3 linked regions of the Arabidopsis thaliana genome follow. The protein of the gene in region 3 interacts with the protein of the main gene of each other region in a pairwise test. Each region holds a gene or a part of one and is shown on either strand. Other genes may lie near its edges.

What was found.
Region 1: the proteins of SVL4 (region 3) and FAO3 interact in a protein complementation assay, tested with the Arabidopsis thaliana proteins (one large-scale study listed by BioGRID).
Region 2: the proteins of SVL4 (region 3) and GAE5 interact in a protein complementation assay, tested with the Arabidopsis thaliana proteins (one large-scale study listed by BioGRID).

What each region holds. Positions count from the first base shown.
Region 1 is NC_003074.8:8,375,224-8,387,131, reverse strand, and holds FAO3 (fatty alcohol oxidase 3), read right to left. Parts: upstream 4,461-11,908; 5' UTR 4,273-4,460; coding exon 4,063-4,272; intron 3,802-4,062; exon of another isoform or gene 3,722-3,801; coding exon of another isoform or gene 3,716-3,721; coding exon 3,443-3,715; intron 2,866-3,442; coding exon 1,108-2,865; 3' UTR 951-1,107; downstream 1-950. Other genes in the region: AT3G23420 (F-box and associated interaction domains-containing protein), read left to right, coding at 1-350, 502-786, 830-859; FIB4 (Plastid-lipid associated protein PAP / fibrillin family protein), read left to right, coding at 8,907-9,182, 9,340-9,576, 10,065-10,191, 10,282-10,496; AT3G23390 (Zinc-binding ribosomal protein family protein), read right to left, coding at 10,908-10,967, 11,053-11,127, 11,306-11,485, 11,703-11,705. UniProt on the Arabidopsis thaliana protein: Long-chain fatty alcohol oxidase involved in the omega-oxidation pathway of lipid degradation.
Region 2 is NC_003075.7:7,284,658-7,294,874, forward strand, and holds GAE5 (UDP-D-glucuronate 4-epimerase 5), read right to left. Parts: upstream 6,464-10,217; 5' UTR 6,192-6,463; coding exon 4,881-6,191; 3' UTR 4,535-4,880; downstream 1-4,534. Other genes in the region: AT4G12230 (alpha/beta-Hydrolases superfamily protein), read left to right, coding at 1-59, 727-852, 1,032-1,130, 1,236-1,378, 1,476-1,584, 1,701-1,808, 1,903-2,043, 2,311-2,691; AT4G12240 (zinc finger (C2H2 type) family protein), read left to right, coding at 3,238-4,332. UniProt on the Arabidopsis thaliana protein: Involved in the synthesis of the negatively charged monosaccharide that forms the backbone of pectic cell wall components.
Region 3 is NC_003076.8:23,493,749-23,505,222, forward strand, and holds SVL4 (SHV3-like 4), read right to left. Parts: upstream 3,854-11,474; 5' UTR 3,762-3,853; intron 3,655-3,761; 5' UTR 3,639-3,654; coding exon 3,527-3,638; intron 3,391-3,526; coding exon 3,094-3,390; intron 3,012-3,093; coding exon 2,902-3,011; intron 2,812-2,901; coding exon 2,313-2,811; intron 2,237-2,312; coding exon 1,916-2,236; intron 1,828-1,915; coding exon 1,688-1,827; intron 1,616-1,687; coding exon 1,132-1,615; intron 1,049-1,131; coding exon 750-1,048; 3' UTR 501-749; downstream 1-500. Other genes in the region: FIP1[V] (FIP1[V]-like protein), read left to right, coding at 196-252; YKT61 (SNARE-like superfamily protein), read left to right, coding at 4,529-4,721, 4,870-4,943, 5,012-5,101, 5,191-5,295, 5,512-5,577, 5,789-5,875, 6,330-6,380; TIL (temperature-induced lipocalin), read right to left, coding at 6,764-6,949, 7,034-7,408; RR18 (response regulator 18), read right to left, coding at 8,037-8,102, 8,180-9,292, 9,389-9,465, 9,595-9,966, 10,034-10,183, 10,273-10,402.

The sequences.
Region 1 (11,908 bases), on a different chromosome or scaffold from region 3:
GCATAAATCTTCAGAACAACGTTGAATTGTGTATAAAGCGTGAACGTGAACTTCTTTTCCCCGACGCTTCAGATCAAATTTACGTCCGTCACGTCTTTCACTGCGACGGTTTATTGTTATGCATCATGAAAGACAACCCTAGGCTTGTGGTTTGTAACCCGTATAGTGGACAAACCCGGTGGATCGAGACTACAAATAATCCTCAGAGATTAGATGCATATTCGTATGCTCTCGGATACAATAGCAGTACCAAATCCCACAAAATCTTGAGTTTTGGTATGATGTTTGATTATGTCTCCTCCACTTCTGCTGAGTTCAAAATCTACGACTTTAACTCTGACTCATGGAGGGTCAATCTCGAGACTGGAACATAGGTTACTATAACCGTTTTGTGTCTGGTGCCTCTCTCAAAGGAAATACATATTGGCTTGCTGAAGAGGCATATTCAGAAATCCCAAGACAAGGAGACCATAGTTTCTTACTCTGTTTTGATTTCACAAGGGAGACATTTGGGCCGCGGTTTGCCTTCGCCGCCCTTTGAGTGGTATCTTCAAGAGTTCTCTGTTATTATCTAATGTTAGAGATGAGCAGCTTGCGGTGTTATTTCAGCGTATGGATACATTACAGATGGAGATCTGGGTTACAACTAAGATTGAGCCCAACACGGTGTCATGGAGCAGCAAGTTCTTCTTATCAGTGGATATGAGAGAACTCACCGGCCGTTACTCTATGTTTTCGTTTAGTGATGCAAGTTTCTTCATTGATGAGGAGAAGAAAGTTGCAGTGGTTTTTGATAAAGGCAAAAAGAAGTAGTTGATGTGCAATGCAGCTTACATCGTTGGAGAGGATGGATCCTTGAAGAAGTGGATCTTGGAGAATCTCCAAACCAAAATCTCCGACCACTTGTGTGCTCTTATGTTCCAAGTTCACTGCAACTTGATTAGTCCAATATTTTATAACACTCTAATTAGATGAATAAATATAACGTTTCCAAAACATGGATTTTATTAGTAGACATGATCAATAGAAGAGTCTTTAACTATGAATTATCATGTTGGTTACACATAAATTTGATTAGGATGAATAGAAAGTATACGTTATTTTAGTTCAATGAGATAAACCAGTGGTCATGGACTTAGCGATTCTTGTGGAGATACAATAAGCCGTAGACATGACTGTGATCATAGGGTTAACACCAACAGCACTAGGCAACGCACTTGCATCGCACACAAACAACTTCTCTGCTTCCCAACTCTCTCCATTCAAATCTATTGCACCTTCTTTTTCATTTTCTCCAATTCTACAGCTTCCCATCTGATGAGCTGAGCTATAAACGTTCCATTTCTCAGTCATTCCCTTTGCTCCTTCCTCTGTACTCACCGAGTCTAAAAACTCTTGGATCGAATTCTCATTGACACCTTTGCATATTAGTCTCTGCCCGTCGCTTCTGTGAGTTCCCACTTCCTCTGCTCCAGCTGCTATTAGTATCCTTAGCGACTCTCTAAGCCCAGCTTTGAGATTATCTCTGTCGGTTTTGTCCACGGTGTAGTTTATTCTGCCTTCGGTTTTAACTTCTCCTGACCCGCGGTCTCTAACTATGGTTATGAGACTCGCGGTTCTTGAGTATCTAGCCATTCTTTTCTTCATGTCAAGCCCAGAGGTCCAAGGAGTTAAAACGGAGAACGAACCTGGTCCTAGTTGCGGTGTCTCTATGATTGCTCTGACTTCAGAATCTTCTGATAACACTTTGCTCACTGATGTTATGATCCCGCCTTCATATGAATTTCCCTTGAAACTGATGTTAGAAGATTCCTTGTCCGGGAAGTAACCCCACGCCATTAAAACAGGGTGTAAGTGAAGGTTTTTACCGATGTTTCGGTTTCTCAACCCGCTAGATATCATCAACGGAGGTGTTAAAAGAGCACCCCCTGCTGAAACCGTTACTTTAGCTTCAATCTTTAACATCTTTGCTATGTTTCCGTTTAAAGATTTAGCCATCACTCCCAAACATTTCATTTGCTTGCCTCCTTTGTTACTACCGTTCTTTTCGAGTATGAATCTCTCCGCTTTACATCCAGTAAGAATCACGGCACCGTGCCCCACCGCATCGACAAGCCAAGTCCGGTCACTTCCTTTCTTGTCTCCTTGTCTACATCCATACCCGCAAGATCCACAGTAATGACTCTCCGAGGAGTTTCTTGGCACGTTTTCAACATTGAACCCGAGATTTTCGCAACCTTTTCTCAGAATCTGATTCTGAAAACTCTCCAGTTCACATTTCTCCGTGACACCCATCCTCTTCCACACAACTTCCATAGCCGTTAGATATTCTTTAGTACCGAAAAGAGGTATATTTTGATCCTCTGACCATTCTTGAAGAACCGACTTCGGGGTTTTGATACACGCAGACCAGTTCACAGCAGATCCACCACCTACAGTTGCTCCAGCCAACACCATAAAACTCCCATCAACACTCGGGAGAATCCCTCCATTCTCGTAGAGTTTATCCAAGCCAGGACCTTCGAAAGGACGATGTTCAGAAGGCGTAAAGTAGCTTCCTTTTTCAAGAACAACCACTTTTAAACCAGATTTCGCTAGAACAGAAGCTGCTACGCCTCCTCCTGAACCAGACCCGACGACCACAACATCACATTTTATTCTGATCGCATCATGCTCCGTGTCAAGAACCGCTTCTAGGCCTTTATGAGCAAGTGATTCAAGAAGAGTCTGCTCTGTTTCTTCCATCGTCTCCACTATCCCTTTCTCAAGTGGTCTTTCGTTATGAGTTTCAGAAGGTTTGTTCTCATCGGGGTTAACACGATACCCTATGGCTTCCCATGCCGGGTTTTCGCCATTTGGATTCACCTACACAAAAGAAACGACATATCCATAAATTCTTGAACATTTTCTATAAGTAGCTCTGTTTTTACGACAGAGTTAACATATATAATATAGGCTCTGAATCCGGATTTTGGTTTAGTTCACGATTCTCAAAATTTTGGATCGGTTTATTGTAACCAAATCAGAAAATGATCTAGTTAAATCGCTTGGTACTCATTTAAGATCAAAGTTTTTAATAATGGGATCAAATTGTTTATGTATAGTAAAATAGTAAATTTTAGTTATAAACAAATCTCATATGAATACGTTACGTACGGTTTCAGGTTTAAGATTTTCTAATTTTAGTATATATGAATTTGGATGATTTTTTCCTTAGAGATCATCATTAATTTAGAAAACAATAAAACTGATACGTTTTCTAGTTTTTTTTGGCTCTATTTGTAATCAATTTTTGGATTATATAGAAAGTAAATGAATTTAAACCATGCGATTCTGTTTTCGATTATTTGGATTTGTACTAGACTGTTTTATCCGGACAGAACAACATAATCTATGTGGTTGAGATAAGGTTTGGAGAAAACAGAGAGAATTTGAGACATACCCGGGAGAAGAAACAGAAGAGGAATGCAACTTTGATGTAGACAAAAGCAGCTCTAATTGGAGTCAGAATCCAATTCTTGAATTGTTTCTGAAGTACTCTTTCTCTCTTCTCCAACGAGAGCTCACTAAATTTCTCGACAAAAGGCCATCTTGAGACCAAACACTCGGTTCCACAAATGAGAAGCGTCCCAAGCCGAGTAGCAAGCAAGAACAATATAAGCCTAGTAGCAATATAAGCTTCTATTGTCCCTCGTTTCGTGACCAGCTCAATGCTCTGCATCCATTAACAAATCTTTCACTTTTTACTCAAAACCTTAAGGTCTTTTTAATAACCGCAATTAATTTTAGACCGAAACCTAGACTAATAATATTCACGTTAAAAAAACAAAAAGAGCTAGATATTTTTGTCATTTAAAAGGTCTATAGAAGTCAAAAGAGAACCACAAGGATTTTATTGGAACTCGATCAATACGAATCCTTTTAACTAATCGAACAAATCAAAACAAATCTTCAAATATCACACGTTCTTGATTTGTGTTTTTTTGTTTGAAAGTGTCAAAACTTTAGCATTTTGTTAAAAAAACAGATCATTTGATGAATATAAAGAAAAAGTGTGTGAACCTGGCGAAGGACAGGAGTTTTAGACCCAGAAGTTGAGTAAAATGACCGGAGAGCCTCTTTGTTCCGATGGTTATCACCTTCACCGGAAAGCTCTTCCGGCGGTGGCTGCACTGAAGGCAAGACAGCTTCACAAAAGCTAGCTAAAGATTCCATCTCTGCCACCGTGATGTCCGGGAGACCAAATTTTCCGGCGACTTTGTACTTATCCATCACACAGTTTGCTTTGATATGATTAAAAAACAAAACTGGGAAAGTTCTTAAGATTTCGAAGCACAAACTCTGTTAGTATATATATAGACACAACGTTACAGCTGTCGCGTTACATAAAAATAGACATATAAAACAAAATTGCTAAGAGAACCCCAAAACTTGTTTTTAACTCTTTTTGATGATTACGTATTTTTATCTGTCGTTTTAGATAGTAGATGTATGTATTTTTCTAGTTTATACGACAGTTTGTCGTATTACTAATTATGATGATAATTGACAATTTAAATGTATATGAAAAAGTTGGACCAAAATTGATTTTTCTTTTTTGTTGTTGTAAATGGTGCATATCTACCCACGTTGTTGTTTCTTTCAAATTCTACTTATATGCCGAATTTTATTGGTATCATCTGATGTAGATTGAATATATTTCTTACGTACAATTTAAGATGATGGTTATTTTTTAGGGTCCTCATGTTTAGAGTCTCTAAGATAGTGGTTAAAAACACTTAAAATTGCAAAATATAGGGACTAGTATGTAGTTAGCAGAGACTATTATGGGGAAAGTCTTTTTCAGTTTTCTAGATTACAACATGTGAAAACTACAGGCAACGAAAATCGATTAGTAATTAATAATTAAGTAATGATTGAAGAAACATAACAAAGGCACAAAAGAAGAAAATAGTCAGAAAAGTTCTCATAGTTATGGAAAACAATCACGTGTGATACTCTTTCTTTTTTTTTTTTTTTTTTTGTTTGACAACTGCGATGCTCTAAACACCACAATTTGAAACTTGTGATAGCCAACTTGTGAGTTAATGCACAAGCCCCGTAACGTTTTACACAATCTAGCTTTTCTTATTCGATATACGTGTACTTGATATCTTCTCACAAAAATTTGTAAATATTATATGAAGAAATTAATACACATTAATATGTATATACAACATCTGATCGGTTATCACGTATATATCAAAACATATTATATCTTTGGAGAGGTCATGCTTGGACCATTAGACAAAGTCTTATTTGGTTTACGAGTTTTTTAGTTTGTTAATTATAATGTAAAGTATATGAAGTTGTAAAATTTACTCTAAAACAAATCTAGGGACTCGTCAATTAGGTGAAATTCATGGGATCGTCAATTAATATTTACTCAAATTAGTCATAAATGTTGCTTAGCTGCAACGAAATTGATTACAAACTTTTTTGCAGTGATTTTTTAGGTGCTTCACTGGTTAGCAACCATGTGCTAGTGATCATCCATAAAAATTATCTCATTTACTCATCCAGTATTTCATGAATTCTCAAAAATACTAATTATTGATTGTTGACCAAAAAAAACCCATATATTGATTACAAACCAAACGATCCCAGGCCGTTTTGAATTTGCTAGAAAAATAAATACATATATACACTATATGCTTAAAATTTCAATGGACAATGCGTTGCCTCATTTAAGATTCGAAGAAACTAGCATTATCAAGGAAAATGTTGAGTGACTTCCAGATAATTTGTTAAATTTAGTTGACATCGATTAGACAAAGAATCGATAAATTACGTATTGATTCAAATTTCATATTATAGACATCCACAAAAAAATAATATAATTAGTCTGGCCCTACTTTTGATTTTGCAACAAATTTGTGGGAATCAGTGGAGCCAATCAGTTGCCTCCACGTCATCGTTTGCACGCCATGTTAGCCAAAATGTGGTCATGCATCCCATCTAACAAGTCAGGTGTAATCGAAGCATCCGAGATCTCGTCAGACAAAAAAAACTCTAAAACGATAACTAGTTTTTAGTGTAATCTAAGTTAAAGTATGATTATTTACTAATATATATTCTGATCCCAAAGGTTTGGTTAGAAAATTTCCTCAGCATGGGTTATCGGTACATATATAATTGCTTGGTGATAATGATATGTTTCAGCTTAACCAAATAAAAAATGCAAAATAATAAATAAATTTTACCGTGGTGGATGAGCTAATTAGAGTGTACGAGGTACATATATAGTGCGTTGTTTTGCAAAAATAATAATATTAAAAAGTTCACAAAATATTTTTTAGTCATAAGTTACTTTTTCACACTTATTTATAACTTAGAAATAAAAAATCACTTCTCTGAACACTTATTTATAACTTCTCTGAACACATGTTATGTTCAAATGTTAAGACTATTTTCCGTTAGGTGATATCGTAATTTTATGACTACAATATTTCAAGTTATATGGACCATAGCATTCCATTTCTATGATTGAGGTACACTTTGTGATTATTATTTATCGACCAAATATTTTCAATGGCTCCAAAGCTTAATTATATATTAGTTGTAGACAAAAACAAATCTCTAAAACACTGTCAAAATGACGTGTTTGCGTAAAATCCATAAAACATTTTCAAGCTAGCCGAGGCATCAGCAACAAAATCTTCTTAAAACCTTCATGGCTTGTAAAATATTCAATCGGGTACAGTGGGTTGTTTAGTTGAATTATTATGTGTCACTGTGTAAGTATAGCTTCTAAAAATAAAATGTCATTATAGCTTATTGTTTAAAAGTCAAAAAAAATGTTGTTGGACGCAATTAAAGATGTCACAAGTTGTCATTAATTAATTAAGCGATAATGTAAAGTAAAATAGCGATAACAGGTTATATACGGCATTTTCAAGATAACCCCACTTTGTAGACCTTTTCCGTTCATGTTACTTTCTGCCCAGTTAAAATCTTGTGTTAAAAAGTCATAATACCATATTTCCTTTAGTTAAGTAAACTATACGCGGATACTAAAAACTACCGATATTTTATGCGTAAGTTATCTTTATTATCATGTTTTTGTTATATAAACAATTTTGCTACAAAAAGTTCATTTCGCCTTTATTAGATTCACGAGAGACGGCATTTCTTTCGTTTTTTTTATGCTTTTGATGGAGAATTTCAATGATGGCTATAATTATATATCGTTGAAGATTTCTTATACACTTGTCTCCATAAATCTGCAAATCTGATAATAAATTGTAGTATCTGAGACTCGAACCAAAGACCTCTTTATGTATAATCATTAATGAATTTTTGGTTAACCAATAAAGTGATAAACTAGGGGTTTTCAATATCTTTATTATCATATTTATTATTAAATTACTATATAACTTCATGTAATCGTGGGACACTGCAACAAATACTAAATAATTAGAAAAATTAACAACCAACATCTAGTTAGAATATTTAATTTGCACCAATGTCTTCGAGTATAGTGAAAAAAATAGAAGATCGAATATCGAATAGTACGTATAGAATCATCTAGATCCATTCGAACTAACGTCTACTTTTCTTTTCCAGCATTAACATGTAGCTTGTCATTAGCATTTACATGTTGCAAATAACACAAATTGGGAAATTGAAAGACTAAAAAACCTTGTACAGCAGATGGTTTAACACGTGGATTCATGGACACAAACAGAAAACGGCAGAACTAAGCACAAAAACGTCAACTAAGCATATCAAAGCTTTTAATGCAAGCCTAATATAAACACAAGTGGTTATCCATAATCTGTTCTTAATCTCTTGCAGTAGTTATCTTTTCATTATTCGCAATTCGCAATTCTATATTCTTATATTTCAACTTGTTCTTCTTCCAAATTGTAATTATATCTACATCGTCTTAGCTTGACCATTATAGCTCCAGTACCAAGTTCTCTTCTTAACTTTAATATCAGCTACTATTCTCATACTGTAAATATCTTTTGTTCACCAAACATATATTTCGAACCAAACTGCTAAAAGCTTATCATAAATTGCAGTTCTAGCCACACAATTTTGCAGTTCCAACCATTAAATGCCACAAAATTTGGACGATTTCTTAAGACAAGAAGAACATAGCAACCAAACCTTATTGATTAAATATGAAATGTCTCCATAAAACTGGGAGATTTCCCCAAATAAAGAGAACACGGCAAATGTTCACGTAATCTCCAAGATGAATGTTTAATTTTTTCTTTCAGAAAAAAACAAAAAAACTTAACTCAATATAGACAACTAGAATGGATACCAACTAAGCAAAAGAAATTCAAAAGACAAATATATATTGGATATGAAGTTACATTATTTTCAAACTTTATATACTACTAAAAGCCTAAAAATTTGTTCTAAAATGATATCCAAATAAATGGAAGGCATGAATGTCATATGACTAAAAGAGAAAAACACACCTGTATATAAGTATTGGATCATGCTGCCTCCGAGTGACAAAACATACGATGTGGGTCTTTATTGGGCCATACTTAAATGGAAAAAGGAGAAAAAAAATTGGGCAATGTCTATGGTCGAAATTTATATGTTTTACATCAATAAAATCAATATTTAATTTTATATATGTGGGTCTTAATCTAGTATTATCTACATAGATTAAAATCAAAGTACTGCATATGGTCCATAATAATACAACCAAAGCAAATTAAAATTTTGTGGCACAAAACGACATCATTTTACTCAGAAAGTAATATGCAATTTCGTTTACGCACACACGTATACGCGCTAATAACCCGTGGTGCTTCTCAAATCACATAATAATTAAAGTCTTCTTCTTCTTCTTCTTCTCTACAAATTATCTCACTCTCTTCGTTTTTTTTTCCTTCTCAACAATGGCGACTTCTTCTACTTTCTCGTCACTACTACCTTCACCACCAGCTCTTCTTTCCGACCACCGTTCTCCTCCACCATCCATCAGATACTCCTTTTCTCCCTTAACTACTCCAAAATCGTCTCGTTTGGGTTTCACTGTACCGGAGAAGAGAAACCTCGCTGCTAATTCGTCTCTCGTTGAAGTATCCATTGGCGGAGAAAGTGACCCACCACCATCATCATCTGGATCAGGAGGAGACGACAAGCAAATTGCATTACTCAAACTCAAATTACTTGTGAGTCTGATTCAAACCAATCGGTGAAATTATAAGAAATTGGTTTCGTTTCTTTGGAATTAGGGTTTATATTACTGTTAAGATTCGATTATAGAGTGAATTTTGGGAAGATTTTTCAGATTTGATTTGTGATGTGTTGTGTTGTGAGAAATTGCAGAGTGTAGTTTCGGGATTAAACAGAGGACTTGTGGCGAGTGTTGATGATTTAGAAAGAGCTGAAGTGGCTGCTAAAGAACTTGAAACTGCTGGGGGACCGGTTGATTTAACCGATGATCTTGATAAGCTTCAAGGGAAATGGAGGCTGTTGTATAGTAGTGCGTTCTCTTCTCGGTCTTTAGGTGGTAGCCGTCCTGGTCTACCTACTGGACGTTTGATCCCTGTTACTCTTGGCCAGGTAATTCTTGAATCATTGCTCTGTTTTTACCCGTCAAGATTCGGTTTTTCGGGTAAGTTGTTGAGGAGTTTATGTGCATGGTCTAGTCTATCATCAATAGTCTTGCTTGAGTTTGAATGGGGCTGAGCTAAGAATCTAGCTTTCTGAGGTTACAATTTGGTAATGTCATCTTATACTCGAAAGCAAACTTTTTTCTATATTGTCAAGTTTATGTGTACGGTCTGGTCTATCATTGGTAGTCTTTGTTGAGCTTGAATGGTGAGGAGCTTAGAATCTAGCAATGTCATCTACTCCTTAATCATTTTTTTCTATATTGCCAAGTTTATGTGTACGGTCTTAGTCAATCATCTTTATTCTTGGTTGAGTTTGAATGGTGATGAGCTTAGAATCTAGCTTTCTTTGGTTTAAATTTGGCAAAGAACCATACCTGAATCGGTAGAAAGCAAACTTCTTTAATATTATCTCTTGTTTCTGAATCATTAAAACAGGTGTTTCAACGGATTGATGTGTTTAGCAAAGATTTTGATAACATAGCAGAGGTGGAATTAGGAGCCCCTTGGCCATTTCCGCCATTAGAAGCCACTGCGACATTGGCACACAAGTTTGAACTCTTAGGTTTGCATTTCCCTTTCTCTCATTAAGTTTATCGAATTGTGTAAGAGCAAAATAACTTATCTGTATCTTTGACATTTATGGGGAAAACAGGCACTTGCAAGATCAAGATAACATTTGAGAAAACAACTGTGAAGACATCGGGAAACTTGTCGCAGATTCCTCCGTTTGATATCCCGAGGCTTCCCGACAGTTTCAGACCATCGTCAAACCCTGGAACTGGGGATTTCGAAGTTACCTATGTTGATGATACCATGCGCATAACTCGCGGGGACAGAGGTGAACTTAGGGTATTCGTCATTGCTTAATTCTCAAAGCTTTGACATGTAAAGATAAATAAATACTTTCTGCTTGATGCAGTCTCATGAGTTTTGTACAAATCATGTGAACATATAAATGCGCTTTATAAGTAAATGAGTGTCTTGTTCAATGAATCATATGAAAGAATTTGTATGACTCAGAAAATTGGACAATGATATAGACCTTCCAAATTTTGCACCCTCTAATGTGAGATATTAGTGATTTTTTCTTAGGTTGGTAGAGAGAACGGATTGGCAAAAAAATATCGAAGGTCAATGATTAACAGCAAAACCATATCTTGATGATTCAAAATATAGAGTTAACAAGCAAAGATGAGACAATCTTATACGAGAGAGCTAAAACAAATGGATTCCAAATCCAGCAAGTACAAAAATCGCAGAAAATAAGATGAAACCAACTTAAAACAGAGATGTTCCCTTTCCCTTCTTGTCACCACCGATCTCGAAATGCTTGCACCTCTGAAATAAACAACAAACCAACACAATGTAAGCAAATTACCAAGTTACAAATCCGGTATAATGAACTGATCTATGTTCTATGCACCTTGATAGGACGCTGCGAAAAGTGCTTGCAGCTTTGACACTGAAGCCTCAAAACAATCTTCTTCGTGGTCTTAGCCTGTTAACAAGATTCACAAGATGTATCTCAGTCCAAAACTGAGACTATTGGAATGTCTGTTTCCTCACAGCTCACTTCCAAAATTCTACTATAAATGGTTCCTTAAAACTACCTCATTTCAACTAACTAGACCTAATTCAAACTGAAAAAACAATCAATGCATGATAATCAATGTTACCTTTTTGTGGAAGACAGGCTTAGTCTGACCACCATAACCAGATTGTTTACGGTCATAACGACGCTTTCCTTGAGCAGCAAGACTGTCTTTACCCTTCTTGTATTGGGTAACCTTGTGCAAAGTATGCTTTTTGCATTCCTTGTTCTTACAGTAAGTGTTCTTTGTCTTTGGAATGTTCACCTTCAAAATTCATAAAATCAAAAATGAATCACTCACACACATACAAAATCAAGAGACTTTTAAGGTTAATCAAAATACAAACATCATTTAGATTGAAAACTTTTATGATAGATCTGAAAAACAATACAATAAATCAATCAACCATGTATTGTTGTTCTTCAAAGTCAACGAACTTTACAAATTCCAAAATCACATCGAAAGAGAAGAAACAATTTACCATTTTCGCGTCTCTGATCTCCGGTGAAGCTTTTGTGCCGTCGTCGTTCCACTAGACGAAGTTGTTTAAAGAAGAAGAATTTATAGTACACTTTCTGAAAACCCTAATCTGACTTTGGGCCTTAGGTTTAACTAATAAGGCCCATATATAGTATAAGGATTGGTCATAAACAATGGGCCCATCTGTATGTCAAAGTCCTTTATGAG
Region 2 (10,217 bases), on a different chromosome or scaffold from region 3:
CTTCGACGCCCGGAGATTACGTCTACTTTAAATCTCAGGTTCCTCTTCACAAGATTCCCGTATGTTTCTTCTTCCTCTCTCTCTCTTTGACTTTTGATGAATTTTCGATTCTGCATTCTATTCGGCTACTAAATTAGGTTTAATCTCGAGCTTTTGAGGTTTTGATTTTTGTTTTTTTTTTTGTTGATTTTCGATTAATCTCATGTGGGTTTTAATCGTTTGGGTTTATGCAGAATTTTTTGTGTGAGTAGTTCTATCGTAAATGGGTTTATCCTGCTGAGTTTGGGTTCAAATTTTATGCTTAGAATTTTAATTTTTGGGTTCTTGTCTAAAAGCAAGAACTTGGTAGTCTTTAGTTTAGTGATGGGTATTCTCCATTTTTGATCTTTTTAACTTCTGTAGATTCTTTTAGTGTTGCTTTTGATTTGATCTATGAGTAGCCTGTGACACACTTAGTGATTTGTCTTTGTTTATGTTCGCATATTTAGTTCTTAGCTCTACTAATCCCAAGCAACTATTGAATGGCTCTATAGATGTAATGTTTGTTCGGGTTGTGTTGCTTAGAGTTTGGAAAACTGTGATTTGTTAAGCATTTGTACATGTATGTCCACTGTTTCAAGCTTCGGAATGAAAGATTTCATTTTTTTTGTTTTTTCTTGGAATGTCATTTGCTCAGAGCATAAACAATCTTATAAATATCTAGCTTTATGTGCATGCTAACTGCAGATTGGGACAAAGCAATGGCGTTACTATGACTTTGGTCCAAAGACTGTTCCTCCGCTCATATGTATTCCTGGAATTGCAGGAACTGCAGATGTTTACTATAAACAGATTATGGCACTCTCTATGAAGGTTTGTCAAGTTCTAGTCTTTCAACAGTTATCTGCAAACAATCTTTTCTTAATCACAGGTAGCTTTAAACATTTGTTAGGATATGGTAACTTAGATGCTTATGTGTTGATGTGATCCTTGGGGACTGATTAGATATCTCCAAAAATGTTGAACTTATGTTGTTAAATCTGCAATTCCAGGGTTATCGGGTAATCTCAGTTGATATTCCACGGGTTTGGAATTATCATGAGTGGATTCAAGCATTTGAGAAGTTCTTGGACACCATTGATGTTCATCACGTAAGATCTCTTTAAGTTACAAATCACCATCTAAGTTCCTAAATTTTTTTATTGGTGCGGAAATATATGGCATTGTAAGTGATTGTACTTGACCATTCTTAATAGGTGCATCTCTACGGTACTTCCCTTGGAGGCTTCTTAGCACAACTCTTTGCTCATCACCGTCCAAGGCGGGTTAAATCATTAGTTCTATCAAATACATATTTGGATACTCGTACTTTTGCTACTGCAATGCCATGGGCTCCTTTGTATGTCTCTCTTATACGATTATTCCTTCTTTATTTTTATTGTTTGTGCCTAAGTATTTGTACTGACTCTCAACGCTTTTCGTGATGCTCTGTGCAGTGTCAGTTGGACCCCTTCTTTTTTGCTTAAACGATACGTCTTAACAGGAATTCGTGACGGACCTCATGAACCCTTTATAGCTGACTCTGTCGACTTTGCTGTTTCTCAGGTTGCTATCCTGATTATTTCATCTATGATATTTTCTTGAACGGATCTGAATAACATGTGGACAAGGAATTTTAGATAAACTTACCAGCTCGGTTTCTTTGGTTTACTCTGATTTAGGTGGAGACATTGTCGAAAGATGATTTGGCTTCCCGGTTAACTTTAACTGTGGATGCTGCTTCCGTGGGATCTCTACTACTCTCTGATTCTTCAGTTACTATAATGGATGTAGGTTTCGATTAGCTATATACGGGACTTTTCGTATTATCAATGCAAGTAATTTTATCGTTGTCTAACAATGCTGTTATGTCTTCCAAATCAGACAAATGATTACTGCGCAATACCACAACATCTTAAAGATGAACTAACAGAGAGGTATCCTGAAGCAAGGAGAGCTTACTTAAAGAGTGGAGGAGATTTCCCATTCCTATCACGGCCCGACGAAGTCAATTTGCATCTACAGGTACATATCTACTCAGTATCTAAAGCCAAATTTGAAGTATACATATACTCAGTTTCGACAGCCGAATTTATATACTCCTAAGGCTCTTTTCAAGAAATTATGAACTTTTAAAGAAACTTGAAACTTCTCTACCTATTTTTTAGATTTCATACCGTTGAAGGGATTTTTTTTTCCAATCAAACCGGTTTTATTGCTTGGTAAAGGAACATCATGTTACTGCATCAAAACATTATATTCTTATGATGAATCTCACTCTTATGTTTTCAGCTACACTTAAGGCGGGTAGGAGTAGAACCACGACCCGAAGTGGTTAAAAGCATTCCAAAAGGCGGCGCAGATGGCACAGACGGTAGCAGCCAGAGCAAGAAGAAGAGTGATGAGGAGAAGGACGACCGTAACAACAATATGCCTCAAGACTCTGGAAGCTCATCTTCAGATCAATCACCGACATTTCCAGAAAGTTCCGGAAGCTCCAACGATCCGCCTTTACCCACAGACACCATTCAGTTACTGAGTTCATCATTGAACAACCTCATATTAGTTCAACTCGCTGGTGAAGTTTATCAGTCTTGTGTGGTTTTCACATTGTGTTACTGTACATTGGTTTTGGTTCACGGTGGTGGTTTTATCTCCAGACAATTGGTTTAGTGTTCTTTATTTATTTATTACCTCTTTTGTTGTTTAAATCTTTTTACTTTTGGGTTTCTTTGATCTGTTTTGGTTTCTCTTGACTTTTTGTATAAGTTTGTAAGACAAAGCAAGAGTTCTCTGTATGTTTCAAGTTATTACACTTTTGGAAGAAAACTTTGGTTGGGTTTTGGGATTAAACCAATGTGCTTTCTATTATTTACACATTTTGCTCTTTTAAAATTTAGTCGCTCATTATTTATTTGTTTTTATCTTTTACTGTATTCAAAACAATAACAGTAATAACCTAATGCAGTAGAAATTTGATAATTTTCTATGAACAGTGGTGTGTTTTGTTCCCTAATAAAGTTAAGGAAGAAAATTGTAACATTTACAAAGTTCAGGGTTATAGGTGTTATATTTTGTATTTCAATTCGTCTTCTTCTTTGCTCCAGATTGAACTTACATGAGAATCGCCGAACTCTAATCGGATCCGGGTCGGGTATGTAATGTAAACCGGGTTTTTTGAAGCCCCCATCTTCTCCGTCGATTTTAAAGATCCCGGCGATGTTTTCAAGATTTGTCCTAAAAAGTTGGAGACCTAAAACCCAAACCACATCTCTCAATTCAATCAAAGGTTTTAGCTTTAGCTCTAGCTCGATAAACCCTAAACCCAAAATCCGAGTAGGGGTTTGGTGGGATCTAGACAACAAACCACCAGCCTCTTTCCCGCCTTACGACGCCGCCGTCAAGCTCCGAACCGCCGCGTCGTCTTTCGGAACCGTGAAGCTAATGATGGCGTATGCGAATCGTCACGCCTTTAGCTACGTTCCTTTAGAAGTTCGAGAACAGAGGAAAGATAGGAAATTGCTAAACAAATTAGAGAACAAAGGTTTAGTTAAACCACCGGAGCCTTACTTCTGCGGTGTTTGTGACCGGAGATTCTACACTAACGAGAAGCTAATTAATCATTTCAAGCAGATTCATGAGACAGAGAATCAGAAACGTATGAGACAGATTGAATCTTCGAAAGGACATCGAAGAGTGAGACTTGTGGCTAAGTATTCGATGAAGATTGAGAAGTATAAAAGAGCGGCGAGGAATGTTTTGACTCCGAAGGAAGGTTACGGTTTAGCTGATGAGCTGAAACGAGCTGGTTTTTGGGTGAAGATGGTTAGTGATAAGCCAGATGCTGCTGATAAGGCGTTGAAGGAACATTTGGTTGAAGTGATGGATAAGAGAGAAGTGGAGTGTGTTGTTTTAGTGTCTGATGATTCTGATTTTGCGGGGATTTTGTGGGAAGCTAAGGAGAGGTGTTTGAGGACGGTTGTGATTGGAGATTCGAACGAAGGTGCGCTGAAGCGAGTAGCGGATGTTGCGTATTCGTGGAAGGAAGTGACGATGGGGAAGGCGAAGAAGGAAGTTGAGAAAGTTGTGGGGAAGTGGAAGGATAGAGATGTGTTGAAGAAGTTGGAGTGGACTTATGATCCTGCTTTGGAGAAAGAGAGAGGTGGTTCTTGCGGTGTTTGGGATTACGAGTTTGATTATGATGATGAGATTGAGAATGGAACAGAGGTGGAACCTGTGGAGATTGGTGATGGTGTTGACTGGTGGAAGATCGATACTGAAGATGGTGTTGGATCTTCAAGAACTTGTCGATAACATCATCGCATATGTCGTGGTTGATTGCGCAGAGGAAGATAACATGGTATAGGCTAGAGAACAATCTTGTGAATCTATTGGCATATTACATAAACTTCAGGCTAGAGAACATTCATTGTTTCTTGTTATAAGATTATGCAGTGATTTGATTTGTTCTTCCAAACCATCATCGTTAGTCAAGTGATTAGAGCTATGTAAAAATTGGTCAGAATAAGAATAAATATATGTTTGAATTCACAAGAAACAAGTGACAATAGATTGAATTACTACAGAGTATATGCATCAAAATCCAAGCTACTTTATTCCTCCGACATGATGGAAAAGACAATTGAGTTTCGACAATTGAAACATCTAAGTGATGAAGCTGTACATTGCTCAAAATCTACTAACAAATAAATGAAGCAAAATCTAGCAACACAGAAACAATGCAGATACGTAAGTGATTTTTCCTGGCAATGCAAGTGCTCGGTTTCAAAAGCTTAACCTAGAGCGAACTCCAAGCTCAACAAGGGGAAACAGAGACCATGACTTAAGCAGAGAGACAGAGCTCACCAAGAACTCTTCTTCTTCGAGCCAGTGTAAAAACCCATATACCATTTCACAAACTTTTTCAAACCCGTCTCAAGATCAACCGCAGGTTTATAACCGAGCTCTGCTTGCGCTAACGTGATATTGGCATGAGTAAACTCAACATCCCCATTCCTCGGTAGAGGCATGATCTTTTTCTTAGCTTTCATCTTCAAAAGCTTCTCTAATATAGTCACAAGCTTAGTAACAGGAACAGGAGAAGTATTCCCCAAATTATAAATCCTAAACATAGCAGGACCTTTCTTCTTACCACCACTACCAGTACTCTTCTCAGCAGTATCTAACGCACCTAAACAACCTTTTACAATATCATCAATGTAAGTGAAGTCCCTAGCAACACTACCTTTATCAGGAGATTCAAACACAGTAATCGTCTTCCCTTTAAGAATATCTTTAGTAAAGAAGAAATACGCCATATCTGGTCTACCCCAAGGTCCATAGACAGTGAAAAACCGCAAACCCGTTAACGATAATCCGTAGATGTGATTGTAAGTATGCGCAATTCCTTCACCTGCTTTCTTCGTAGCTGCGTACAAACTCGCTGGTTGATCGGTACGGTCTTTCTCCGAAAAGGGTACTTTCGAATTCAGACCATAAACAGAGCTAGAGGAAGCCCAGACTATAGCAGGTTGCGGATTCGCTGATTTCGATACTTCTAATAGATTCACAAACCCAGCAATGTTACTGTTAACATATGAGCCAGGGTTTTGCATTGCGTAACGCACACCAGCTTGAGCAGCGAGATGCATAACATGTGTGAAGAGGACAACATCAAAGAGCTTTCTGAGTAAAACGGCGTCGTTTATATCGCCTTCGACTACGAAAACACCTGATCTTTCTAAAAGGCCTTGTCTTGCTCGTTTAAGCTTTGGATCGTAGTATCGATTGAAATTGTCGAGACCTAGAACACCATCGCCGCGTCTTCGTAACGCGATCGAGACGTGAGTACCGACGAATCCGGAAGCTCCGGTGACTAATACCGTTAAACCGCCGTGAGACCTAGGACGAGCGGATTTACGGACTTGTTTCTCCCAGTGAGAGCCGCCGTATTTCGCGGCGGAAATGGAGGAAGAATCGTTGAGATTCCGGCGAGATGGTGACGGAGGAGGAGATAAAACGAGGTAGAAGAGGAAGAGAGCGAGGAAGAGAGAAGCCCAAAGGGTGAGTTTTGAGAGACGGAGGTAACGGTGGTGGTGGAGAATCCCGTACGGTGGAACTTTATCGGTTTTGTACTTTCCGGGAGTAGAAGGAAGATCATCAAGGTGAGACATTTTCACCGGAGGAGGATTTAGAAATCGGAGAAAATGTCGATTAGGGTTAGGTTTGGATTTTTGGGTCTTAAGGAAGCAAAATTGAGCAAGTCAAAAATGAGAGGATTTTCCGGGAAAGAAGAAAGAGACGATCTTTTACTTACTTGTTGTAATTAAATTAAATGTGGATGGTTTAATTTGGTTAATGATGTAAATTTATTTATTTGGTTCAATCTTTAAGATATGGTAATAAGAAAGCTGCCAGAGAGTATATTTAGATTCATGAATTTTAGATTGCTTTTCAAAGTTAAAACGTGTTTGTAGATTGTTGACATTTGTATAGTTGTATTGCATTCTATATTGATCATGTTATGCATGTACTTTTGTACACGATCACATATACACTATTTTTACACGCAATAATTGTTTAATAATATTTACTACTTTTGCTTTTAACTTCTGTATTTCTTTGTTCCGATTGATAATAAAAAGAAAAATTATACAATAACAAAAGGTTATAAGAAATGTGAAATAACGGGGGTAATAATGATAAAAATAGATATAAAATCGATCGTATCATGTCATATATATAAATAATATCTTTCGGGATTAACTTTTTTTAGTTCTAATTTATATCGATTGACAAAAAAGTAAATAATACAAAATCGGTTATTTTTGAGGAATTTTATTACGAGTTATTTTTTATTTTATGAAATTGATCTGTTTTTTAGGAGGTAAACAATAAAATTGCATTAAAAAATGTAGTGATTTTTTTATTTTTTAATAAGAATTTTCTACTTATAATGTGAACAATACTATGTGGATACATGCTAGTATGTTAGCAATGTGAACAATATTCGTGATAAGTTAAATATTATTTTAATTTAGTTTATGATTGTTATATCTCACCTAACCATTATTTTCGACATCAAACGAAAATTAATGTTATATATTCCTAGTGTCATAGTAAAAGCTTTAAGAAATAATCCACATTTAATAAGATATACAAATCGTAATATACCATATAATCACGCAACACTGATATTAATCAGCTTAGTATAGTTAACCTATCAGAAAATTGATCTCTTTATAATAAAATTCTATTTCTTTATGGTAATAAGGAGCCAAATCAATTACTACCAAAATATCGGTTATGCCATATACAGTTAATTTGTAATTACTCTGGTTAGATTAGGATATTATCAAAATCAAGATTGACTTTGTCCTTCTAGCGATCATTAACTAATTTTACTAGAGCATAACCGGCTGGGTCAAAGAAATTTGCTTTTATTGCACAAAATTCTAAATTTATTTCAAAAAATTGTTGTTTGACGCTTGTACTAATTATCAAGCTAGTCCGTACACATCGTCTGATATACACTCATTTGGTTGATAGGAGTATTTTTCTCCTAGTCCTGGGCGTTTGGGTATTCGGTTCGGGTTCGGATCGATTTTTTCGGGTTCGGATTTTTCGGAACTATAATTTTAGACCCCGTTCGGGTATTTGAAAACTTCGGTTCGGGTTCGATCCGGTAAATTTTGGGTTTGGGTAGGTATTGGTACTTCCATTGAAAAATCCAAAAAGTAACCGAATATTATTCGATACTAGTTTATAACTACTATAATATACCCGAACATACTTGATACTAACCACATATACCATAAAACCTGTAAATTTGTAATAAAAAAAACTTAAAGTAAAATCAATAAAGCATGACATAATAAAAGTTTCATACGTTCAACCCAAAAAGCAAGATTCAAAACATCCAAATAAAACCATTCAAATAGAAGAAAGAAGTTCAAATCCAAAGCAAGACATAAAAACATCGTTTAGAATCGAATCCAAAGCATTCAAAGTAAAGAAAGAAGTTCAAATCCAAAGCAACATCCAAACATGATAGATTCCCCATGACTTGTTCCTGTTACATCAAAACCAAATAAGCTCAGTTGAAAAATAAAAAACCATAATAAACATTAAACCATAAACCAAGTAAAAGTCAAATACGAAATGATCGTTGATTCATAAGTCTAGTATATTAACATTGAGCTATAAACCAAGTTCAGAAGTAAAAGAAAACAAAATGGAGTGATGAAGTTACCTTGTAGTCGTTTCCTTGATTAGTCTTTTAGTCCAAATTCACTTCAGTTTGAAACTCTGAAAAAGATTCAATCAACACCCAAGTTGTGTTAGAACATAAGAGAGTTTTCAAACAACATCTAAAACTAAAACTAGTAAACTACATAGATAAAGTTACCTTTCTCAAGCTTATCAAGTAATTCTATATCAGCAAGAAGTTGTGTATTTGTTAGAAAAGTGTTTTCACTCAGCTTGATTTCACTTTTCAACCACTGCTCAAGGCAAACCAAAGTCTCTACCATATAATGAGTAAGGCAGCTTCTACTTGGCTCCAAAAGACGACCACTGGTGCTAAAAGCACTTTCAGATGCGACATATGACACTTGCATTGCAAGTACATCTCTTGCAATTTCTGATAAAACTGGATACTTCTGACTATTGAGTCTCCACCAAGACAAGACATCCCACTCCATTCCAGGAAGAGTCTTAGGATTTTCTACCTCTGCCTTCAGATATATATCTAACTCATCTTTAGGATCAGTAACCCTAATTTCATTAACCATCTCTTTATAAGACCTGTCCATCCTTTCAAACTCAACATTACTATCTTCAGCTAACTCACATGCAAAAATATCTCTGGCAGCAGTAGATGAAGGCGGATTAGACTGAGATGATTGTGTGTTTGGTCCCTTGAAAATAACAGTGTACTCCTTCAGCATAGCCTTCATGACATCATAAACAGAATTATACATCTCCTTGGCTTCTGAAGTGTCTACACCATAAAGTTTCTCAAAGCACATTTTAGCAAATTCCATTTTCTGTCTAGAATCAAACACACTAGCAATTATTTTTGGATATTTCTCTTAGTTAGTTTGAAGGTTCACTTTATTTGTAATTTAATGCTTTTGATAATTGGAAGGGTCGTGGGCTCGTACATTTCCTCGAGCTATTTGTATTTTACTAGCAATGTATGTCAAATATTTGGTGTACTTTAACAATTGTTAGAATTCAGTTAACTATAAATCTACATATGTCATATTATTATGAAAATTAGACAAAACTAGGGGGTGTTATAGGTTTTCTGATTTAAATAGAGTTTTAATGAATTAATAAAATATTACATAGAATCTGTTGTTGTTCAATCAAGATTCTTATAAAGTTTGGTGTTATTAATTTTAAGATTTGTAAATAATGATCTAAAATCTTTGTAAATTTGGAGTAATTGGATTCATATTTTTATAAAGTCATAAAAAGTTTTGTGTTATTCAATCAAACAAAAGAATCTATGTTTGTTAATGAATTAAGTTATTATGTTATTGTTTATAACTTTCTACACTTTTCTTCGCAACATGAAGTCATAAAAAGTATCATCAAAATAGAAAGATTGTTTGAGAAACTTTACAAGATTGTGAAAAACTAATTAACAAGATTATAGAAAAGTCTCTAACAATAATTAAAAATATTTTATTTATTTATTTTATATGATATTACTAAAGTCATCAAAATTTCTTGTAAATTAAGAACCTATAACATTGCTTTAGTGTTACTTTGATTAAGAGAAATTAATAAGTTCAAATTTCTGTCTAAGAAAAAAGAACAACAAGAAATGAAGTTCAATTAATAGTGAATCCAATGATAATAATTAAATAAAATCTTATCTTCTTATAGTGACAAGGTCTTACAGTTACCCACTCGACACAAATTATTATCATTATATATGTATGCTTAGCACATGACCAATTTTATTAACACAAATTTTACCTAGATCTCTAAGAAGTAAAGAACACTTTAAAACCTATATTTTTATATATCTTTGTGTTTTAACTCATGGTAGACACCGAGCTGTATTCAGATAGGCCGTTTAATGCAGACACCTCTTTCAACATCTTGATAACGTTAACACCATCAGATGTGGGTTTGAGTAATATGATAACGTTTTCAAAAGAGATAGTAGAAACCAAAATGTTACC
Region 3 (11,474 bases):
GCTGAGAGTCATAAACTGGAGTTGAAATAAAAAGCGATGAACTGTGGCCCTCTTTGGCTGGGTTGAGGAAAGTTTGATTCTCAATGTAGCTTACGATGCTTAAACGGATGACATGAGATTCTCCCATCCCACGGAGCAGTTGTAGCAGTAATGCGATGAAAGATCAAGCTCAATGGAGATTATTTAGGTGTTTAGGGAGAGTATGTGTGGGATGAGCGAAGTTGTGTAAGAATAGGGAGGGAATACGCATAAGGATAACTCTGAGAGAATACTCTTGTAGTAGTTGATGTAACTTTTGTCAAAGATTATTGGTCTTTTAGTTTTGTTCTTATACTTAGCGCCTCCGGAGAGAGCGAGAATATTTTAAAAATACTTGACAGCACTGTATTATATACTGTAGTAATTTTGTTACTATTTTAAATTTGTACTCGGCCTTTGGTCTTGATCATTAGTGTTAACAATGTGAGTTATCAGAAAGCAACAACTATGAAAGTAGAGACTGTGGTAACGAAGGATCGTAAATAAAATATGAAAGATTATCAAGACTCAAAATCTTTACCGAAAAAAACATTCCTATGACAACAAAGAAAGTTTCTGTAGAGCTTTTGATCTATAACAACAAATCACTGTTTGATGCATATTTTGGTTAACATGAGTAAAACATAGATAACTCAAGTTGTGTCAGTTTGAAAACGCTGAGGGCAAACATGTTACAACCTATATGAGGTTATATGGTGTGATCAATCTCTTTAGGCTGTATAAAGGAGTCCCAAAGCCATCATTGCCAGCAAGGAAAGGCTGAGATTAGCAGCAATGGCAACGGTGCCTGAACGAGGAGGAGTTTGTGGCGGACCACCTTCAGTTCCATTGGAGGCCAACTTTGCAACTGGAGGCAGAGGCGGATCAATCACGTCTTTGGCATCAAGAGGTGGGTTTGGGGGAATAGCTGGTAGTTGTGCTTCCTTGTCTGCCACGGTGAGTAGAGCTCCAGCATCTGCAGGTAAGATGGCATAGGGCTGGTCTTTGTTCAAATCTGAACATGGACTCCCTGCATTTGCATCAAATATAATTGATCAGCCTTATCTTGGTAATGTTTTTGTTTTTTGTTTTTTTGTAGAAGTTTAAACTTACTTAGGTATCTGGTAGCGGTGGCAGGGAACTCCGTGATGACTCCATCAACGCCTCTCCCTGCAATGAATGTTGCAAGCTCTATCGTAGGATCAGAGAAGTAGTCGAACGCTATGGCGATGTACTCATTTCTTAGCACCGAGACGTATACAGAGATATTCGCTTTGTGCATTTCCTCTACCACATTAGTTTTCCCCGTGGCAAAGCTTTGGGAGACGGTGATGAGGGAAGTTCTCAAGAGATTGACAGCATCTGCATGCTTCTTGATTTCTTCGATGGATGTCTTAGGAGCATCTCCGATCTCCTTGTCGATACTCAAGACTCTTGTGTAAGGAGGGACAGCCTCGAAACTAGATAGAACTGAACTGTCATCCGACTGAATCAAAACCTTCTGGGTTGATTGCTTGTCGAGTGTGGAATTTGTAAGAGCAGACTTGACTACGTCTACGACTCCTAAGCCTTTCTTCGAGGCTAAATAAGCAGCATTCTGTCAACAAAAACAGTGTTAGTGGAGCTTCCTTGTGTTAGTCAAGGAGCATTTGGAAGTTAAATGGCTTGCCTGAATGTTGATTAAAACTCCGGTGACTGCCTTTGCTTTGCCGAGCTCAAGGAAGTCCGCAAGAGTCGTGAACTTCCCGGCGTTCTTGTTTGCGGGGTTTCTCTGGAAGCCCGTGGCAGTGAAGGGGTTTTCTATTTGTGCTGAAGACAAAGATATCCCAATGCTCAGTGACTTAGTTGAGAATAAGATTAGTTTAAGAAATCTATAGAAAAGAAATCAGTTTCTTACGCTTCACAGACTGGATCTCGGCCCATGTAAGATCAAAAGAGAAGATTCCGTTGGTAGGCTGGATCTCAGGAACGCTGGTGGCTCGGGACATGAAAGTAGTCCTGGCGGTGGTACTTGCTGAGAGGTCTGCAGCATCATGGCAGAAAGCGATTCCGTCTTTGGACATCTGAACAGAGCAGTCAATTATGTCTGCTCCATCGTCGATTGCTTTCTGGTAAGCCAGATCAGTGCAGCCTGGATAGTCTCCGCTTGCTCCATTGTGAGTTATAACCAATGCATGCCCTGCTTTGGGGAGATTGCCGTTTTGGTGAGAAAAGCAAGCTGCAAGAAAACAGACGCTTTAGCTTCTTCTTAATAATCAGCTATCTGAGGAAACATATATAGCAAGTCATCTCACTGATTGATTGTGATGCTGTTGGCGGGAAATCGGTGATGACACCATCAACAGAGAACTGGCCATTGTCCACAAACTGGAGATACTCAGCAGAGGGATCATAGCTGTAGTTAAAGCTGGTGCGCAAGTCGTTGGCAAACCCTGAAGCATAGACCTCTAGACCGGCTTTGTGAGCATCAGCCACAAAAGTGGTGGCGGGCTTAAGGTACTTAGCTGAGTCAATGGGCCAAATGTAGTCTTTGGGCACAAGAACGCCTGAAGCAAAGGCCTTGATGGCTGCGAGGTTCTGCTGAATCTCGCTGTACTTCTTGTTGGTGGTGGGCTCAACTGCCTCGGGGTCTTTGAACTCAAATATGAGCTTTGTCTTGGCCCTGCCCGCGTCCATCCCGATGCTCTTCAAGAAACCAATCTCTGGAGATGAGATGACATTAATGCCGCGGAATCGCAAGCTTCTCAGGTACTCGGCTGGGCTCAGCTTGTGTTCCATGTAGAAGGCATCGTACTGCACATTTGCATTGTTTGTTGTTTTGATGAATCAACAAAAAAGCTCCATATGTTGGTTAATCATGTTCTCAAAGAGAAGAAAACATACCTGAACGCTCAACCAGAACTTGGGAGGCTTGGTTCCAAGGACATCCTCCACTGCAGAAACCGACATTTGGCCGTCGAAGATGCTAGGCCGAGAGAAGATGTTCTGGACCACTGCTCAATAATACAAAACATGAAAATGTGTGGTGGTGGTGGTGAGCATTGAAGGGAGGAAATGAAAGAGAAGAAGACATACGAGTGACTTTGTTGAATATGGTGTCGGCATCGTAATCAATGACAAACCAGCCCTTGAGGTCCTGACCGTTGACCTTGTAGGTCTTCTGGGCTTTGGGGAAGACCGAGGAGATGGTGGTTGCATTGTCAAGTCTGATATCTGACAAGCAAAGGCCCACACCGTCCTTAGTCATCTGAAGGTTGCACAACATTGTGAAGCCAGGCGAGCTGGTGCCAATAGCCAAGTCGTTTGCAGAGATGCTTGACTCAGGGAAAAGACCCGAGAAGCCCCCTCTGGCCACAACGGCAGGCTCTTGTCCTGGAAGACAAAAGACAGGTACGGATTCTTAGAAACAAACAAACAACATGGTATCTTAAGTCTTAACATTAAACAACAACAAAAAAAAAAACATGGTAGTATGCAATATGGGCATACTCTGTAAAAGGATGCTTACCGTTAAGGGTAAGCCATTTCTTGGCAGGAACAGCTGCGGCAGCAGCAGGAGTCTTGGGTGCCGCAACAGAAGAGTGTAAGAAAAGGGAGAAAAGAATGAAAAACCTCAGCATCTCTATCTGATTGATCCTGCATTTGTGTGTAACGTACGTACCCCAATGGAAAAGCAAAGTCAGGATACATGTAACAAAAACAGAATTGTCACATTTAAGAAAATTGTGAAAGAGAGATCTTACAGCGAGAAAAGAACATGAATCCCCTCTCCTGCTTGTTTTCCTCGTTTAGTTAGAGGAAAGGAAAAAGAAGAGAAAGAGGAGATGGGTCAAACAAGGTTAATTAATGGTAAAAAAAAGTAACTTGCTCTCATATCCTCCATTTATGGCCATTTACTCCTTTCTATTTTTATCTCTTCTTCTCCACCATTCCCTTCTTAACCGCTTTTTCTTTTTTTGATGCTTTCTTACATCTTCTTTGCACAAATGGGTGTAACACCCCTCAGTTTTGGACTTTGTACTATATTCATTTGTCATACATGTATGTAGTTAAAATGACAATATTAGAGTTTGGCATTCGGACCAAACCAAGTTGTCCGATCTAAACCAAACCAATATTCCGTTAATAAGAAAACTCGATTGGCAAAAATTAAAATATTCTTTGGTTTCAGTTTTTGCCTAGACTTAAAATTCTTAAAAATCCAATTCTATGTGATGGAAAAATCTTTGATTCCGGTCCAATTCTGCATCAATATATGCTAAACCGAACCGAGACTGCCCACATAAAATTGAATTGAACCAAAGGTTTTTAATTTTTACTTCAACATAGCGAATAAGAAAAAGAGGGTATATATTCATTATTCAATGTTAATGAGAAGGCGTCTGCGTTTGGTTCGACACCTCAAAACTTGTTTTGCCTTTAGCATCTCCGAGTAAGGAATCCAGGTCCAAAGCCTCTTCTCTTCCTCCTCCTCGCTTCCTTCTCACGCAACCTTGGATCCACCGCAGCTATGAAGATCACCGCCTTGCTCGTTCTCAAGTGCGCTCCCGAAGCTTCTGATCCCGTCATCCTCTCCAACGCTTCGGACGTCTCTCACTTCGGTTATTTCCAGCGATCTAGCGTCAAGGAGTTCGTCGTCTTTGTCGGTCGCACTGTCGCTAGCCGAACCCCTCCTTCCCAACGCCAGTCTGTTCAACACGAAGGTTCTTCTCCTTCTTCTTCTACCTCTCTAGATCGATTGTTTTCAAATCTTCTTTCTCCCGGATCTAATGCAATCTCCTTTCCTCTTTGATTTTTATTCGATTTCTAAATTCGGATCGGCTTTTCGATTTTGAAACTTTTATGATTTAGGATGTGCACCGTTTCTGATTCTAGATCTTCCTGGACTATGCCCCGGCTTTAATTTCTTGCGATTCTATCTTATTGTTCTAGTCCTCGAATTTGGGATAATTAGGGTTCGTGTTTTTATTTTGTTTTTGGTTTAGAGTACAAGGTTCACGCTTACAATAGAAATGGCCTTTGCGCGGTGGGTTTCATGGACGATCATTACCCTGTTCGAAGTGCTTTCTCTCTTCTCAATCAGGTAATATCATTATGTTGAAAGTGGTTCTCAATGCATCATTCGTAAGTTTTCCTGTAATTTGGGTTGCTTGACATTTAATTTTGTCTCAGGTCCTAGATGAGTACCAGAAGAGTTTTGGTGAGTCATGGAGGTCTGCAAAAGAAGACTCCAATCAGCCTTGGCCATACTTAACCGAAGCTTTAAACAAATTTCAGGTTCTTCACTTGTGCAACTGTATTCGCTCTTTTACTGTGAATTTTGTTAAAACTGTAGTTATATTAAGCTCAGTTAGGTGGACATTAGAATCCAATCGAATGATTCATTCTTCATGAATTAATTTTAGTAGCCCCCATTGTTTTATGACCATGTTGGATTTTGAGTGATTTGATCTTAAATTGATTTTGGGATTGTCCCGTATTTGTAATCTTCAGGACCCAGCAGAGGCTGATAAGCTGTTGAAAATCCAGAGGGAGTTGGATGAGACAAAGATTATCCTTGTAAGTGCTGTCTCCGGTCCTTTCTTGTAGACCCTTATACATAAGCGGTACTTCCTTTTCTAAGTTTCAGTATACTTGCCAATTATACATAAATGCTGTTCTGTCGGTGAGTTTACTTTCTTCTGAAAAACACCAAAACAAGAAGAAAGTCTTGGTAGTTATGATGGATGTCCCTGTCTCCGTAAGACTGATTTTTTGTTCTGTATTGTAGCATAAAACCATTGATAGTGTTCTAGCCCGTGGTGAGAAGCTGGACAGCCTAGTGGAGAAGAGCTCAGATTTGAGCATGGCATCACAGGTAACATTCTAAAGTCACATTCTAGAAATTCTTATAGATTTAGTTTCCTTTTTTCCCTGTCTCGATCTCTGAGCATAGTTGGTGAACACGTTAGAAAGGGTTGTTGATTTAGCAGGCTTATAAGTGTTGTTGATTGATAGAGGAACTATTGCATGTTATTGTTGGGGTAGATAAATAGAGGAAGAATGTGGATTTAGAATACCTTCTTTGAAAAAGCTTTCTGCTTCAGCCTGCAGACATTTGAGTGCAGTTTGAACTATACAGTTGGATTTTGGAATTATTAGGTTTGCTACGAAGAATCATAGTGTTTTTTGCTATATCATCTGACCATGGGGAGGAACATATGTATTAGTCATATCCTCTGGAATCTCAAGATATTCTTCGTTATTTAGATTAGGTAAACCATGTTTACTTCCAACATGAAAATCTGATTTGGTTGTATTGGTTGGAACAGATGTTTTACAAGCAAGCGAAGAAAACAAATTCATGCTGTACTATTCTGTGAGCTGGAAGTCCTGCTGGGTATATAGTCAACCAAACTTTTGCTGGGGGGAGACTGTTTTTTCTATCGTCTTATCTATACATATAATTCCGTCTGTAGTTTGCATGCATTATTTTGATTCCATAAGTCTCGAGTCGTGTGGTGTGTTTATCCAAATACATAATGTCAACTTCTGCAAGATTTGAATTGTCTTTCCCAGATTTGATCTGATTGAATTTGTGTGCGCTTCCTTATGGTAAAAGAGACGACTTTGCATAACTAGATGAAGATGTCGTAAATAGACAAAAGCAGATGATGGAAGATAACTAGAGTAGACAAAGGGGGTAGTATATTACACAGACAAAAGGATCAAAGAGGTGAAACAAAGTCTTTGTGTGCCGTGTAATCTATTTGCCGAAGAGAGATTTGAACCACCAAACGCCCTTGGAGTCTTCAGGGGCAGTGTTGGACTCAGGTGGTGTGTCACTCTGAGGAGTCTTGTGAAGCTTGCTGATGTCATAACCTTCCTCCACTGCCTTCTCCACCAGCTGCTTATACGTCTCTTCCTCCATTTGCGCCGTCCTGCTCAATATCTACACCACCCACATATACAGAGTCAATCATTTTTGGGATCAATTTCGATTATTCGTTAAAGAGAAAAAAAAAAGAGTACCAACCCAGAGATAACTCCTGGAAGGCTGGCCAATGAGAGCGTGCTGGTAGTCAGGATCGATGTAGAGCACCCAGTAGTCTCCGGTGACGGGAATGATTGGGAGGAAAGGAGGGACATAGAACTTGACTTTGAGCTTGGCTTCGTCGCTTTTAGGATCGGCCTTATAGGCGCTGCCTTCGATAAAACCCCTCTTCCCGTTGCTCCACGTTTCGTTCAAGACGTGTATGGTACCGTCGGGGTTAAGGGTGTAGGTGGCGCGAGTGTCGACGCCGTTCTTTGGCTGAAACCTTGATGGGAAAGAAGCAATCTCGTACCAACGGCCCATGTATCTCTCCACGTTGAGCCCTTTCACCACTTCCATCTCTTTCTTCTCTGTCATTTCTCTTCTTTTTCTTTTCTTCTTCTCTAAGATTTCGATGTTTTCTTTGAGGTAAAAGGATAAGAAGAGATTCTGTTCTTTATAAGGAAATAAAAAAATAATATCAAGGAGATTTCGCTGGGACGAGAGGATGCCACGTGGAAAGCGTGTAGGGCAAGGGTTCTAGTAGCGTCTAGCAGTTACAAATGTGAATAAAGGTGGAGGACACAAATGTCTTCCTTGTTCTGTGGGAAGAAGGATACAATACAATGGGCCATACAGTCACATTTTGATTTGACTTCCTCTAGCCGTTTCTAGGCCCCACCAAATTATCCTATCGACATCTAAATATCTCTTCTTGTTGACACTTCAAAATAGCTCCATATGTAAACCAACGATCTCAATTAGGCCCATTACTATTCGTATATTGGTTTTGAATAACAACACTTATTCAGAAACTTTATAAAATAAATTTTTGTAACAGGCTCGCTTTCAATTCCAATTCATAAAAGAGAGTATGAAACAGGTTGGTGTACTATGATCTATTGACAGTCGGAGGAAACAATGTGGGAAGAAATTTAAAAAAATCACATGAAAATGGTCTCAAGTGGAGAAACTTAATGCAACTGGTAGAGAAAGAGATGACTAGCTAAGGTGGAGGAAATGAATCAAAGCCAAATCTAGTAGCCACTGGCACCATTCCGTTATTCTCCTCCTGCAACAAACACATTCACTTTCATTTTCTACAAACTACAAAAGCTTTTAATCCAATCAAGAAAACAACCGCGTTACCTGTTTCATCATCTCATTCATTATGTCATCGAATACATCATGCTGGTTGTCATTCTCTGGCTTTCCCGACTTCATCTCTGGATCCAGCATTGTAGTAGCTTTTCCAACATACTCTTGACTGTTGTCTATTGGGTTCATCAGTGACTCATCCAAGCCTTTGCTTCTGGTTGAATTGTTGTCTCTGAAAACCATGTTATCTGCGGGTAGAGGATACTCAATGTTACCGAATGGATTGTTCAGCATGGTGCAGTTCTGTTGCTCCCATTTCTGTCCGCCTAACGGATTCACGTTCTGCATGAAGCCGCCAAGTAATTGAGGATCACACTGCATCTCTCCACCAGGATTCTCTGCAGAAACCAAAGAAGTACAATCTCCCAGATTGTTCCCTGCACATGTCACTTGATCCGGCAAGAAAGCAAGATTTAGTGGTAAGGAACTCGGTGGGAATCTGGTTGTGTTCAAATTCCCTTGCCAGCTATGACCAGGAAATCTAGATAAGCCTTGGAAACTGATGTTTGGGGAGGCAGAGTTGGACGGAGTTCCCTCGATGCAAGGCTGAATTCCATCTGAGGCTATATGCAGGGGTTGTGTATAGTTTGCTTGCAACATTAGAGGATTGGTGGAAGCACTTGGTAAAGAGGTGCTAGAGCTACCAAATGGCATACAAGTATCTAGGAAGCTACCGCCAATAGCTCTGTCCCCTAAGCCTTTAAAATCTCCAATGTATGACTTGCTTCTAGGAAACTGGAGGGGTTCTAGTGGAGATGAAGTTCGCTGAAACAGATTCACGTTCTGGATTCTTGGTGACAGAGTACTGTGATATGTTCCAAACGGATTAGCTGAATTGCTTGAGTTCTGGTGATGCCCCTGTTGGATGAAGCTGGAGGAGTTCATTCCTTGGAGATTTATCGATGAATACATAGGGGGTTGGAGTTTGGTGAGATGGGAACGCGATAAGAGTCCTGAGCTTGGAATTTGTCTTGCGGCAGTAAAATCTCTAAGTCCATCAAGTTGAGCCATCTGAAAGTAAGATGAATCTCTTGTTCCAAATGCATCTGGGGTCATATTTTGCTGCTGACCTTCGTCTATCTTTTTCAAGTACAGTCTGTACTTCTGCAACCAAAACCAGAGAATAAAACAAGTCTAACCATCCAAGATTATATTTGCGAAAGAAGGGGAAAAATGCAAGAGAGAATGGGGAATTAGTACCTGCAAATGACTGGCTACGTTTTCCCTAGTGAGACCTTCTATACTCATGAGATCAAGTATTTTTTTGGGAACAGCCTCTGTGATGAACACAAGGAGAAATGAAAAGAGGATCCCACACATGAAAGCATCAAAATAACTCTATAGGAGAAACAAGAGTGGACATCACACATAAGGAAAGGTTTAAAGAGGTCTATGGGGAAACTCACTGTCGAGGCCCAATTGCTGAACGGCACTGACAAACTTCTGGTGAAGCTCCTGAGACCAAACAACACGTGGCTTCTTCCGCGTACCTGACCCGTCACCATCCTGTTCACTCCCCTCACCATCATCCTCTTCTCTGTCACTGTCATCTTCATCACCACTGTCATTGACTTTGTCTTTCCGTTTCCTGCTGGCGCTTGGGACGGAATCAGATTCAGAAGGTGGGAGCAGTTTTGCGTAAGATTTAATGTTCTTCTTCACAACATGATGCCATATATTCTGAAGCTCCTTGAGTCCAACAGGCTTGACCAGATAATCGCAAGCGCCATGTATAATACCTTTCATAACGCTGTCATAGTCGCTATGAGCTGACAACACTGAGACAATGAAGCAGGTTACAATAAGGGCTAGAGTTGATATGAAAAACAATGGTAGGAGACGTACTGATGACAGGAAGGTCCATTTCAAGACCAATTTCAAGCAACTTAAAACCATCCGTGTCTGGCATCTCTACATCGCTTATCACCAGATCAAACATGTTGCTGTTTTCTCTCAGCATTTCCAGAGCTTTCCTCGACTCCATTGTCTTTGTCACTGGCGTAATCAATCAAACATCATTGACCATGCACCCCAATTCCGAAGCAGACAGGTAAAAAAAAACAAAAGCAAAGAATATGTAGTACCATGATACTTGCAACGAAGCAGCAACTCTTCGAGTTTCCGAAGGCAGGTTGGATTGTCATCCACAGCAAGAACCCTCATTCCTACAGGAAACTTGTCATGCCTTCCATCTTCAGTGCTTCCAAACTCCATATTTGATGCAATACGTTTGCAAGTCTCCTCTCTTCAAAGGAATATAGTACATAGACTAAAATCTGATCTGTTTTATTCTTAAAACCTCAAGTTTGGGACTAGAAGAAGACCATAGTCCTCCTATAGACAAATGTAAAAAGATAAAGACGAGTGGCCCAAAAGAGAGAGTGATTACGCGGTTAATCTGGCCCTTAATTCTCCAAATAATTAGAAATTTCCTTCTGTTTCTGCTCATATTTCCATAAATGAGGACGTGGAGAGAGTCACATGTTCCTCTAATTTCTCTTTTGTTGGTTGAATCTTGCCTTATCTGAGCACAAAAGACAAACTTTTCGTAAAGTGAATGTAAATGTCCCCATTTTGTTTCCTTACTCGCAAATAAACGTTCAAACCCAACGTTTCAACCTTTCCTGGCTTTCCTTATATATATGCATTTCCTATTTTCCATAGAAATGTTTTTCCTTTTTAGTCTTCTAAGTGAATGCACCAAAACAAAACAAAAAAAATCTGATTTTTGACATAACGCGTATGGTCTCAGTTCCAAAAAAAAAGAGAATTCGACAAATGCAATGGACTGACCTGATCACATTCAGGCATTCGAATCCGTCGACTCTTATTACTCCACATTCTTAGTCAATCGTCATACTTGTGATTACTCTGCCATTTTCTTGATTATTCTATCTGAAATCACAACCAATGTGAAAACTGCGTCACAGATGATTGTTGCTGATGAGTCTCCAACAGTCTTAACTTTATCCATCACCAAACCCTTGGAACTATGCACCACTCCAAAAAATAGTCTTTGATCTGATTTCCACTACCACAGAGACTTATTTTCCAGTTTCCTTCCATTTGAAGAAATCGACAACTCTGTGATCTTCTTATACTCAGATTATTATTACCATTCGATTTCTTCAAATGGAAGGAAACTGGAAATAAGTCTCTGTGGTAGTGGAAATCAGATCAAAGACTATTTTTTGGAGTGGTGCATAGTGCCAATTGGACTCAAAGATTAAGAAATTAGATAATCGTCTCCTAGTTTCCTATCTAGAAGAACGAGAGCAAGGAGAAA